3 linked regions of the Coturnix japonica genome follow. The main gene of each other region encodes a partner of the protein of the gene in region 2 in a complex. Links are inferred from orthologs where the notes say so. Each region holds a gene or a part of one and is shown on either strand. Other genes may lie near its edges.

Region 1 (4,114 bases), on a different chromosome or scaffold from region 2:
GCTGGGCCAGAAGTTCCTATTTGTCTACAGCAAAATATGCAGTAAGCAGCCACTGACATTCTGTATATTCAGAAAAAGAAAAAAATAAATAAATTGATTTGGCAATTACAACAGAAAACTTGTAGCCATGTTTCCCTTTTTACAGGAAAGGTTGTAAAGCATATTTATGTCATTTTGTGCGTTATAAAGCACTCTAAGTAAAAATTAAAAAGCCTATAAACTCCTGAATTTAGTAGTTTGCATTTTGGTTACAGCAAAAGTTTACAGAAAATCTTCATGCAATTACATATTTGTGCTAATACTGGTAAGTATCCATCTCTGACTACCTGCTCTGCTTTGAGGCAGAGGCATTTTTCTGTGATTCTTTACAGTGATTCTGTGATTCTTTACAGTGAGGGTGACGGAGCACTGGAACAGGCTGCCCAGGGAGGTGGTGGAGTCTCCTTCTCTGGAGATATTCAAGACCCACCTGAACGCCTTCCTGTGTGACATGGTGTAGGGAGCCTGCTTTGGCAGGGGGGTTGGACTCGATGATCTCTAGAGGTCCCTTCCAACCCCTACAATTCTGTGATTCTGTGTGAGGCCTTTTCCAATGTCTTAGTAATCCTCACTTAAACGCATCATGTTCACATGAAGACAGTGCTGAGTACAGCATATGACTTAGTAATTAGCTGTTCATAATTAATTTTATCTTAACACCCAAGTCTTGTATTTTGACTTAGCAGGCTCTAACAACTCATATACATTGTAGGCAAGTCAGATTTGGAAACGTTTGTCTTTTCTTGCTGACATACCCTGTAACATCACAGTTAATAAGGGATGTATTTTAGCATCTACAGATTGAGGTTCAATGAATGTACAGTTGTAGTGTTAAGCAATGAGGCATTTCAGGCCATGTGAAAGCACCGATTACTGTATGCACCAACTTTCTGCCCTGTCTCCTTTCAGCACTGCACTTATCCACTGACTTCATTTATTACATTTCTGATAAGCACGCTCTCCCTGCGGTCGCCTCCGCACAACTGGGGCAATGCCAGCGGCCAGCCCCACGCCAGGAGGGGCTTCAAGGCTGAGGTTTGACAAACACAATCATCGGACCACGGACAGACCCCATCCCTGGCCCCTCCTACTGCCCCGCCGCCATCCCCCTCTCTCCACAGCGCTACCCGTACCTTCCGCTTCCTATCTCCCTTCGCAGCCGGCACCGTCGCTCACGCACTCAACGTCATCACGCCGCACAGTGTCAGGAGGGCAATAGGAGGAGCGAGGGCTGCACTTGCGTAGTACGTGTATGTGGGGGCAGTGGTTGGGCTTGCTGGGCCGGAGCTACTCGTTCGCCGTCCTCGGTTTAACCTAGGGACGGGTTGGAGCCTGTCTGCCTTCGCCCCGGCCGCCTTTCGCAAGGCCACGGTTCGCACACGGCAACGGGAGGCTGGGCTGCTGTCGGAGGAGTGGGTGGGGGGATGGGGCATAGCCGCTCTGGGTGCTGGCGGGGCGAGGGGGGTCCTGGGTCGCTGAGTTCAACTAAAGCGTTTCTTTGTCTTACAGGTTTCATCTGCTGTTATCTGTAACCTCAAACAGGAGTCTTTGCTGCCACCCGCACCTTGCAGCGTTTGTGAGAGCTGCGAGGATGGTGAATGTTCTGAAGGGCGTCCTGATTGAATGGTTAGTGACAGCATCAGCATCTACTCAACTGTTTCTTTAGGACTGGAAATACTTTAGGTGCTTTTAAGAGTCTAGACCCAAAAATGTATTTGCTGTAAACTTCAGCCTGGAGAAGAGAAGGCTGCGGGGTGACTTTATTGCAGCCTTTCAATAACTGAAGGGAACCTACACCCAGGAGGGGAGTAAACTCTTCGAAAGGGCTGACAATAGCAGGACACGGGGCAATAGATCCAAGTTGAAGGAGGAAAGATTTAGGTTGGATGTTAGGGGGAAGTTCTTCACTAGGAGAGTGGTTACGCCCTAGAACAGGCTGCCCAGGGAGGTTGTGGATGCCCCGTCCTTGGAGGTGTTCAAGACCAGGTTGGACGGGGCCCTGGGCAACCTGATCTAGTAAATGTGTATGTTTGGTGGCCCTGCCAGGCAGGGGGGTTGGAACTACATGATCCTTGAGGTCCCTTCCAACCCGGGTCATTCTGTGATTCTGTGACACTGAGCAAACAGACAGATGAAAGGCATGGTTTTTAAGGGAAGAAGGAGAGAGACAGTTGTGGGTAATCTTAATTCCTGACTCATATTTTCAGATATGTTGTTTTCTGCTTAGACTTAACCATCATGTATTCATCTTGTTTGTTATATTGTAAATAATGTTAATTAGTTTTCATCCTGGGTGATGTGTTCTGATTCTAAAGGGAAATTTGTCCATGCTTCGTCTTTTGTTTTCTTTTTTTATCAATTCCAGTTCGCACACTCAAGGCTGGCTACTCTAAAATGAATATGCTCATAATTTCAGACAGTAAGCTGTTCATATCCGTGCAGTCCATTTGTTTCTATACAGTCTGAAGTCCCTAGACTAAGGTTCTGATAAGAATTACCTCCAGGTTAAAGAAAGTGTCACTCAAGGTTTGTGGAGTCATTATATATCATTACATTATGTACAGGATTTCTGCTGTATGTTTAAATTGTAAACATATTAACAGACTGTAACTGCATGAGTGCAGAACATCCTTCATGGTGCATACAGCTGTCTGCCTACTGTGGTTTACTTCTGAGCTGACTGGACATTAGCCAGCTCACATCTGAATGCCTCATAGTTTGGTATGAGCAGCTTGGAGCATGAATTCCACTATCACAAAAAGTTTCTCTGCTCCAATTTGGCTGCGTGCTACTATGCTGATAAACCTGAACGCAAGAAATGGCCTTCCTGCATTTTCTCAAGACACCCAAAGCAGAGTTGTTGACTAGCAAAACAAGAAATTCTAATATCTCAAGCAGACAGTACAGCCTTGTAGTTTTTTTGTAATTTATTTTACTTGCTCTGGAAGATTTGTGTGTTCCTGTACAATATTGTGATCATTTCCCATTTAGTATTAGCTTGAAACTTTATTATCCTCCCTGGAAGGAAATAGTTTGCCTGACAAGAAGTCTGTAGCATCTGTTATGCCATCAGAGTTTGAACAGCCCCTTGGGTAACTCACTTTTATGTTGGCTTTTCTAGCTGCTGGTTGCTTTCTTGTTTCCTTCTTGCCTTTGCATAATGGTAGCTGATGAGTCCATCCTGAGAGCAGATTACAAACCTGTCCCCTTGTTTACTTTTCAGATACCAATTTTTCACAACTCAGCTTTTCCAGGGCATCTTAGGTAAAAAGTCAGCAAGAAGTTTGGAAAAAATAAATACTTCTGAATGTGTTAAACATTAAAGTAAAACATTAAAATAAAACTATGAAATGCTGATAATATACAGATTTCTTCCTTCCCTCTGTATTATTCCAGTATATAGCTAAACTGTTCTGAGGACAAAATCTCAAGGATTATAATCTTCAAATGCTGAATAAGATCGGTGTTTCTGCTGTAACGTACATCTACTGGCACTGAGTGCACTCCTGTATGTTGATTATGTGAAAATATGTGTGTATTGCCTGACATATGCCTGGGCACACCAGCTTATGCTGTCTGGTACTCATAGTGTGTTGGTAAGGTACATCTGAAAGAAACAAGCAAAAATAAACCTCTGTGCACCCATAAAAAAGAGTGTGTGGAAGAAGACTGAGGACCACCCACTTTTGGTATCATTTTCATTGCTTCTTTGTGTAAACCTTGTCTTTCTTCTAACATTCTTTTGATTGCGAGCAGCTCTTGAAGTTGGTACAATTTTCCTAAGAACTTTGAGAATGTCTTAAAAGGATGCTCTTAATTTTTAGCTGTATCTTATTACAATGAGGTGGAATCTGATGTGTATTTGTCTCTGCAGTGACCCAGCAATGAAGCAGTTTCTGCTCTACTTGGATGAGTCAAATGCTTTGGGAAAGAAGTTCATCATACAAGACCTGGATGAAACTCATGTCTTTGTATTAGCAGAGCTGGTTAACTTCCTTCAGGAGAGAGTGGGCGAGTTAATGGACCAAAACTCTTTTCCTATTACTCAGAAGTAAAAAGATGAGAAATGAGATTG
Region 2 (3,649 bases):
GGAGCGGGGTCGGACTCTGGATCCCAGCCGCTCTCTGCCTTTGGCTGTCTCAGCTCGCCGCGGAGAAAAGCACGTGCTTCCCTCGCACTGTCGTGGTTTGACTCCTACTTTGGGTACTCTTCTCTCTCTCGTTTTGTTTGATTTGGTTACATTTAGTAAATTCCCGTTCCTCCTCAGATCGTTGCCATTGTGTTTTCTCTTTGTTAGAACTATCTGCTCTCTCTCTGCCCTTCCCCCTCTCCCGGAGCGTGTGGCCCGGGGCCGGCCGGGTCGTGGGGCAAACTCTTTCCTTTCTTTTCCTTCATTCCTTTGTCTCTCCTTTTTTTTTTTCCTCCTTCTTTTTCAATCTTTTCCCGGGGCCTGTGTCCCCCTGTCACGGTCTTATATCTTGGGATAACCCCGTGACATAGCTTTCAGAAATACATTTAAAATTTTACTTTACGTAGAGTCAGAATAGGTAATAGAAGGCATCGAAGCAAAATCTGTAAAAGGCAAAATAGCCATACTGCATCTCAGAGCTGCTGTTGTATATTGTCTTGACTGTAAAACTTTTAAGATCAGAGATTGCTCAGTAGCTGTTTTTGCTGTGAAACTCACCTGGTATTTGTGTGATGTCTTTTCAAAGTTATTTTGGTTTGAATGTTATTTTTGATAGGCTGTAGTACTGATGAATTGCTGTATTTTTCCTGTTTATAGCACCTCAGCAGCAGGTTATTGTGCCAGATTCCAAGCTGATACCGCACATGAATGCATCGGGCATGGTAAGGAAAGCAGAGGCTTGTACATCTATATGCTGTCATTGTATAAGTTGTTTTGACTGAATAGTGAAAACTAATCTGGTCATCAGATGCTTAAAAGCAGGACATGTTGATAAAACTGTCTGCCTGCTTTCTGAGTTCTGCTTCTGAAATGACAATCTAGAAGTAACCAAGGACTTAGTAACACTGGACTGGACTGGGTGATCTTGGGGGTCTTTTCCAAACTTGGTGATTATCATTATGATTATCATTAATCATTATGATTTCAAGTGTGGTAAGCCTAAACTTTATTTAAATTAGAAATTGGAGTACTCTTGGTGCAAATCTGCATTATGTACTTGTCTCATGCTAATGTAACACTACTGAATGATACAAACATTGTATTTGTTAGATACAGGGAACAGCATCAGCTGTTCCGAAGTCTCAGCTTATAGCAAATGAGAGTTTATTTAGCAACTCAGATCCACCTTTTCTGCTCGTCTTATTTAGATTCTTTAATTTATAGGAGAATATAAAACAGTATGGTCATTTATTCATTTCTCTTAGTTTTTATCTCAAGAGGTTAATTTTGTTTTTGTTTTTTTAAATGCCCTGGCTTAATGAAATATATATACATATTTCATTAATATATATATATATATATTAATCATTATATATATATATATAATATATATATATAAGCATAGATAGATAGATACTTGTTTCTTGAATAATTATAATTATATTATTAATTATTATTATAAATATAATTAATAATAATTAATAATAATGATTATTATTAATAATAATTAAACAATTTAAAACCAGAATGTATTACATTTTAACTACTTTTCTGATAAAACCATGTGAAGCAATGTTTTATGATTAGTCAAGGCATTGGTAACTTTCATAACCTTAGTTCTCCATTACCTGCTGTCCTTGTTATAGAAAAGAATCTGAACTTCATTACTCAAATAGAAAGATGTATTCAGAAGCTGAGAGCATGCTAATGTCTCATGCTAATGTAAAGTATTTTACAACTGTTTCAGTGTAGTTTGTGAATTCTGCAGAAAAACAATTAAACATTTTTTCCCATCTCATTTAACAAAGTTTTGTTGATGGATATTGCAAAAATGAGGTTGTGGGGATTTTAAAACTCAGGTGCTGTCAAAACAAGAAAGAACTGTAAACTGCAGAAGACTACTATTCAATAAATACTTTTTTATAGAACTAAGTTGGAATATTTATGTGTTTCTAATAAGCTTTTAGGTTGGTATTAAATAACGTATCTGACCTCGAATGTCTTGGAGAACGGCAACTAATGAGAATTTATCTATCTGCCTTTGGGATATATGAATGCAGAAAACCACTTTAGAGTTTTGCTTGTTTTTCTGTTATTTTGGAAGTGATATTACTACTATATGGATCAGTCAGTAAGGGGAGATTATATTTCTTATAACCATGATGTTATGTACTTTACCCAGTAATGAAGTTTAAATCCTTTCAGTTGCGGAGGGTAATTTCTCATGGTTCCTCTGTAGTGAGGAAGGGAGGATTTTCAAAAGATAACTGCTGTTAGACACGTGAAGTAGAAAAACCTCTGGAGAAATCTGTCTCCCTATATGAGTCAAGGACTTAATGCAGATTTTTGTGTTTGAAACTATGTGAATTGCATTAAAATTTAATTTCTGTAAGATAGAATCACTACCCACTGAGAGTCCTTGTGACTCTTCTAACCAACTGTCTTGAGAGAAAAAAATAAGTAATTCTATGAGCAGTCAGTATGCTGTGTGTGTATATTCACTTGAAAGAATTGTGTTATTTGGCACTTGAAATGTAGATTAATTGTAGAATGAAGAAAAGTGCAAACCTGATCGCTGCTCCTTGTGAAAACAAGTGAACATAGTCACTGCTGAAGTACCTTATCTTCAAATTTGTGGGCTCATGACTTTAGCTGCTTTGAAAATGTAAAACTGCCTCCTAAGCCATGCAGTATTTTATTAGTAGGTCGGGAGAGGTACATGGTTTCAGGCAGTATGTTGTAACATGAAACAGTGGCAATAATACTTCCTAAAAAGCTTTTCTTGTATTTCAGAGTGCTGCTGCTACTGCAGCTACGTTGGCTCTCCCTACTGGTGTTACTCCTGTTCAGCAGATACTTACAAATTCAGGTAACTCTCTTAACACTGAGGTCATGTGGTGGTTTTGTGGTTGCTTGGGAGAGAGAAATTGTGGATTTTACTTGCTGACGTATATTGTTCATATATCAAAATCAGGGAAAACTAGATCTTGGACTGTTGCTCACCAGTCTTGCAAACCTAACAGATTCTTTGCAGGTCTTCCCTGCTTTTTAGACATGTTCATGAAAACGGACACTACTGGCCCAAAACTGAACACAGTACTCAGGTGCAGCCTCACCAGTGCTGAGTACAGAGGGGCAATCACCTCCCTGTTCCTGCTGCTAACACTATTTCTGATACGCCATTGGCATTCTCGGCCATATGGGCACACTGCTGGGTCATGTTAAGCCAAGTGTGACCAACACCCGCAGATTCATTTCTTCGTGCAGTCTTCCAGCCAGTCTGCCTCAAACCTGTGGAGTTGCTTGGGGTGGTAAAGGAAAACCTGAGAAAGTTTGTTTCCTAGAATCAGTTGCTTTTCTTGCCAGAATAGTTCACTTAGTCTGCTCAGAATCATCTGGAACTTAACCTTCCCGCTGTATGCATCTGAATGTGTAGTGGATACACAGTTGAAACAAAATTGGAATGTGTATCTGTTCTAGAAATTTAAGATCTTCTAATTTCTAAGGAAGAACATCTGTGCTTTAAGAAGACTATTATATTGTTTCTTATGTTATGCTTACTGTTTTCTTTTTCAGTTGCAAATATTTGTAGTATGTTTTCTTTAAGAAC
Region 3 (4,226 bases), on a different chromosome or scaffold from region 2:
ACAGCTCAGGAGCTAGATAATCATACAGAACTTCTGTTTTTTCTTTCATGGTTTACGCTTACGGCTCCACCAGAAACACTGTGAGATAAAACATGCTTTAAATCGTTGGGAGTAACTCCGAATGTAACGCCTCCACCCAGGGCAGAAAGATGGAGGTTCTCCGTGGTAACTAAGGCTGAGCAGGGCGGGCTCCATCCCCCCCAGAGCGGGGAAACGGGGCGTCTCGGTGTACGGGTAGTGCGACCGGAGGGTAACTGTAACGGGTAAAAACATTAGGGTTTTTGCGCTGGTTCCTCGTTCCATTTTAGAATGCGAATTAAAGAGTTTAGAAATGGAATCCAGGGTTTCCCAAAGTGCTTTCTGTAGCAGTTTCACGCCAGTCGGAAGAATTTCTCTTCAGGACCGGCGTTTATCAGCCCGTCGGAACGGGGCTATACCCCGAGGGAGGCGGCGTGAGGCACAGAAGTAATGGACGTTTAAAAAGACTCCATCCCACCGGGGAGCAGTTAAATGATGGATATAATCAAGATAATGAATGATTTTCTCGGGACAATCGATATATATTTTTTTCTCATGGGGTATAATTAGTAAGTAGGTTTTAAAGCATCACCTCGATGCTTTAATCATTTCGTCAAACCCGTTTTAAAATACAAAACGAGTGCGGGGAAAGATTATCGGCTTTACTTTAATTTCAGTGATTAGTTACTTGTGAGGTGTTAATTACTTTGTGTCCATCACCGGAGGAAGGGATCGTTCCGTTTTGGTTGGTTGATTTTTGCTCCCGGCAGCAGCTCCCACCTCGGAGGACCCGGGGCAGCGAACATCACTGCCGTGCACGTCCCGTTATTCTTACATGTGTTTTATTCCGGCACTAAGAAGTTACACTTAACTTTATTTTCGCACAGCAGCAAGACAAAGCCGATGAGCCGCCTAGAAATCCTTAGCACGTTGTTATTACTTCTAGCTTTCCCCAGGAGACGGTTGTTATTCGGCGTTCGGAAAGACGCATTTCCTCACATCAGGGAGATGTTATCTACAGAGCAGTATTTGTTATACGTTCTTACGTACCTGAGGACGTGCCATTACTCACACAGGGACGCCTAAGGGGCACCCAGCACTCGCCCAGCTGTAGGGCTGAGCCGGTGACTGACAGCACCGCGGCTTGCCAGTTTGTTTCAATGCGGGAATACATGGCACAGACCGCAGGGTACCGAGATTTAGTTACCAGCGCCAGGCTCAGCTCACTAGCGCTTCCAACTCTCACTCCCCCAAGGCTCCATCAGCCGCTATCCGCTGTAAACCCGACACAGCGCCTTAAGGACGGCGATGCAGACCCGCCCCCTCCGGCTTTGCGTAGTGACGCCATCATTCGGCGCCGAGGGGACGGCGAGGAGTGTGGAGGTTGGTGCCGCTTTCGGCTTATCCCTGCCGGGTTGGTGGTGGTGGTAGATTCGGGGTGAGGGGGGAGTGGGGAAAGGGTCGACCAAGCCCCTGGGGGTCAGTGGGGAGGAGGCGTGGCTGGCGCTGAACCGAGGCGGGCTGGGGGGGGATCATTGAATCATAGGCTCATAGAATGAGCTGGGTTGGAAGGGACCTCAAGGATCATGTAGTTCCAACCCCCCTGCCTGGCAGGGCCACCAAACATACACATTTACTAGATCAGGTTGCCCAGGGCCCCGTCCAACCTGGCCTTGAACACCTCCAAGGATGGGGCATCCACAACCTCCATGGGCAGCCTGTTCTAGGACCTCACTGGTCTCCTAGTGAAGATCTTCCCCCTAATATCCAACCTAAGTCTACCCTCTTTCAGCTTAAATCCATTTCCCCTTGTCCTGGTATTATCAAGAAGGGGAGAAAAAATGCTTTCTTTCTCTGTATGGTCACAACCTTAAAACGTAGGTCTGCAGTAATACCTACATGTTAGGTGGGGGTTGCTAAAAAATGAATTGTTTGTGGAGTAGTTGTCTGATATTGTGAAGGAATGTTGGTGAACCTGAAGGCAAAAGGTTAGCGTGCCAGGACAAACAGAAGTCCTTTCCAATGTGTATCATCTTATGTAGCATATATTAAACAGAGCTTGAATATTTTTGTATTTATTTTAAAAGAACTTTTTCAATTTCTGTCAACTTTAGATGGAGATATTGAAATATTTGTGTAAGACAACAACAAAAAACATGTATTTTATTTGTTGTTTTTGCTTAGAACATGGATTCACAGAAGGACGTTCAGCCCCCAAAGCAGCAGCCAATGATTTACATTTGTGGAGGTAAAGAAAAGACATTAGTGGTATTCAATGCTCTAATAATGAGGAATGTGCAGTCATAGTGCCACAGAGTACAGAAATCTACATAACTGGGTTGTGGATCCTGATGATGCATTAAGCTTTATGCACTGATGCTCCCATATGCATGGATTACTTGTGGTTATTGATGTGGAAGTCGTTCACTAGAACCTCTGTTGCTGTGTGGGGGTCCTGCATCTCTAGAGGATGATAGCAGAACTTTTATATATTGCATCTTGGAGACAAAGTTTTTTTGGAAATAGTGTTGTCATTCAACTTTCACTAATGCACAGTTGTCAGATTTTCTCTACCTAAACATAAGTTAATAAAGTGAAAATTGGAGCTTTTGAGTAACCACTTTAAAAGCCTCAGAAAAATTTAGGCTTAAGAAAATAAACTTGGTGGCTCGGAGGGGCTGAGAGGAAGGTTTCATTAGTGGAGTGTGGAATGGTACAGTAATGTTTGGATACTTTTTAGCAATCTAAGTTTGCCAATTCTTTTTTTTTTTTTTTTCCTTAACAGTATCTTAATATAATTCAGTTACTTATTAAAATTCACTGCAATTATTTTCTGTTATGCTTTGTTTGCTAGTAAAAGGAATTAGACCATTGTTACATCTGAAAGCTATCTGTGCTTTAGATATGCTGCTTTTGTTCACTCATTGCTATTCTCCTTCTCCATCATATCAGAATGTCATACAGAAAATGAAATAAAGGCAAGAGATCCGATCAGATGCCGAGAGTGTGGGTACAGAATAATGTACAAGAAAAGAACAAAAAGATGTATCCTTTTACAAAGGCAGTCGAATGCATTTGGGAAGCTGTGGGGCAAGCTGTGTAAGAAAATTGACTTCAGATTTATGCATTCCCTCTTTTTGTTCTCCTTGACCCCTTTCCTCCCCTGATCTTTCCTTGAACTGCAACGCATTTTTCTTTAACTGCACAATTCCAGTGGTGGTTTTTGATGCCCGGTGATTTGACCTGAAGATACATCAATTTTATACTTCAGTTTAATATTTCTGGCAACTTTGCTCTGTAAATCCATTGGTGTATAAATGCATAGTTTAGTGGTTTAAGATATTAAAATATTAAACTTCACTGTGATACTACTTGCCATACCATCTCAATTCTGTCTATACTACTTTTAGAAATGGGTTTCTTCCTTAAACTTTAGTCAGAATGTGCAGCATTCTGTTAAATTCATTGGTATTATATTCATTTTTGAGTTAAGTGTTAACCTTGTTTTCACAGCTCACACCTAAGCCTTACCTGTGTTTCAGCTCTTCAGTGTTTTTTGGACTCCTGTGAACTGCATAAGATAATCTTGGTTTGAATAAATCCCAGTGAAGACATATTGAAAGTCACGCAAAATCAGGTCTGAAATTTGGATTTGAACTCGACAGGACCCAAATCAGGATAAAAATAAATGTGTAAATAGAGATTCTCAGGCTGTTTTGTGACCTTGCTTGTACTCACTAAAATAAGTAGGTCTACAGTATAAAGAAACCTTGGATAAGGTAAAACTGAAATAACGTCATTTTGCTTTTCGGATGATTTCTCATGAGTCTGTATTAAGAAGTGGTTGCCGTTTTGTACTGATAAGCCCAAACTTTTTGCATCCATTTTCCTGTTCAGAACATTTATATTCAGAATATTTAATACTAAAATACCCATAGCGCCAATTTGTCTTAAAAAACACTGCTGCTTTGTGTGTGGTGCTAATTTAGCCTGATTAAATGCTTGCAAATCCAAATTTTGTTTCCAGTGCTGATGAGGCTGTTGAAAGACAAACATGTCATTTCACTGTTATCTGTACAGTATGATACCACTATTAGGGGGTGTGCTGGCTGCTGCAGAAAGCAACAGGGATGGGTTTTAGTGGGCCCAAGGTTGTGGGCAGTGGTGAGGCTCAGGGCACTTGGAAGAGCGTCGGACTGGATTTAGAC

Evidence for each region.
Region 1: GTF2A1 (region 2) and GTF2H5 share a complex: the UniProt entries of both Homo sapiens proteins name them as parts of the TBP-based Pol II pre-initiation complex. The link is inferred for Coturnix japonica from reciprocal best matches to the Homo sapiens genes GTF2A1 and GTF2H5.
Region 3: GTF2A1 (region 2) and POLR2K share a complex: the UniProt entries of both Homo sapiens proteins name them as parts of the TBP-based Pol II pre-initiation complex. The link is inferred for Coturnix japonica from reciprocal best matches to the Homo sapiens genes GTF2A1 and POLR2K.

Annotation. Positions count from the first base shown.
Region 1 is NC_029518.1:46,900,693-46,904,806, forward strand, and holds the start of GTF2H5 (general transcription factor IIH subunit 5), read left to right. Parts: upstream 1-1,183; 5' UTR 1,184-1,283; exon of another isoform or gene 1,284-1,410; intron 1,411-1,548; 5' UTR 1,549-1,630; coding exon 1,631-1,665; intron 1,666-3,913; coding exon 3,914-4,094; 3' UTR 4,095-4,114. Other genes in the region: protein SERAC1, read right to left, coding at 1-59. UniProt on the Homo sapiens protein: Component of the general transcription and DNA repair factor IIH (TFIIH) core complex, which is involved in general and transcription-coupled nucleotide excision repair (NER) of damaged DNA and, when complexed to CAK, in RNA transcription by RNA polymerase II.
Region 2 is NC_029520.1:37,067,119-37,070,767, reverse strand, and holds part of GTF2A1 (transcription initiation factor IIA subunit 1), read left to right. Parts: intron 1-696; coding exon 697-761; intron 762-2,832; coding exon 2,833-2,908; intron 2,909-3,649. UniProt on the Homo sapiens protein: TFIIA is a component of the transcription machinery of RNA polymerase II and plays an important role in transcriptional activation. TFIIA in a complex with TBP mediates transcriptional activity.
Region 3 is NC_029517.1:116,286,733-116,290,958, forward strand, and holds POLR2K (DNA-directed RNA polymerases I, II, and III subunit RPABC4), read left to right. Parts: upstream 1-1,306; 5' UTR 1,307-1,326; coding exon 1,327-1,401; exon of another isoform or gene 1,402-1,432; intron 1,433-2,202; coding exon 2,203-2,266; intron 2,267-2,970; coding exon 2,971-3,063; intron 3,064-3,232; coding exon 3,233-3,255; 3' UTR 3,256-3,721; downstream 3,722-4,226. UniProt on the Homo sapiens protein: DNA-dependent RNA polymerase catalyzes the transcription of DNA into RNA using the four ribonucleoside triphosphates as substrates.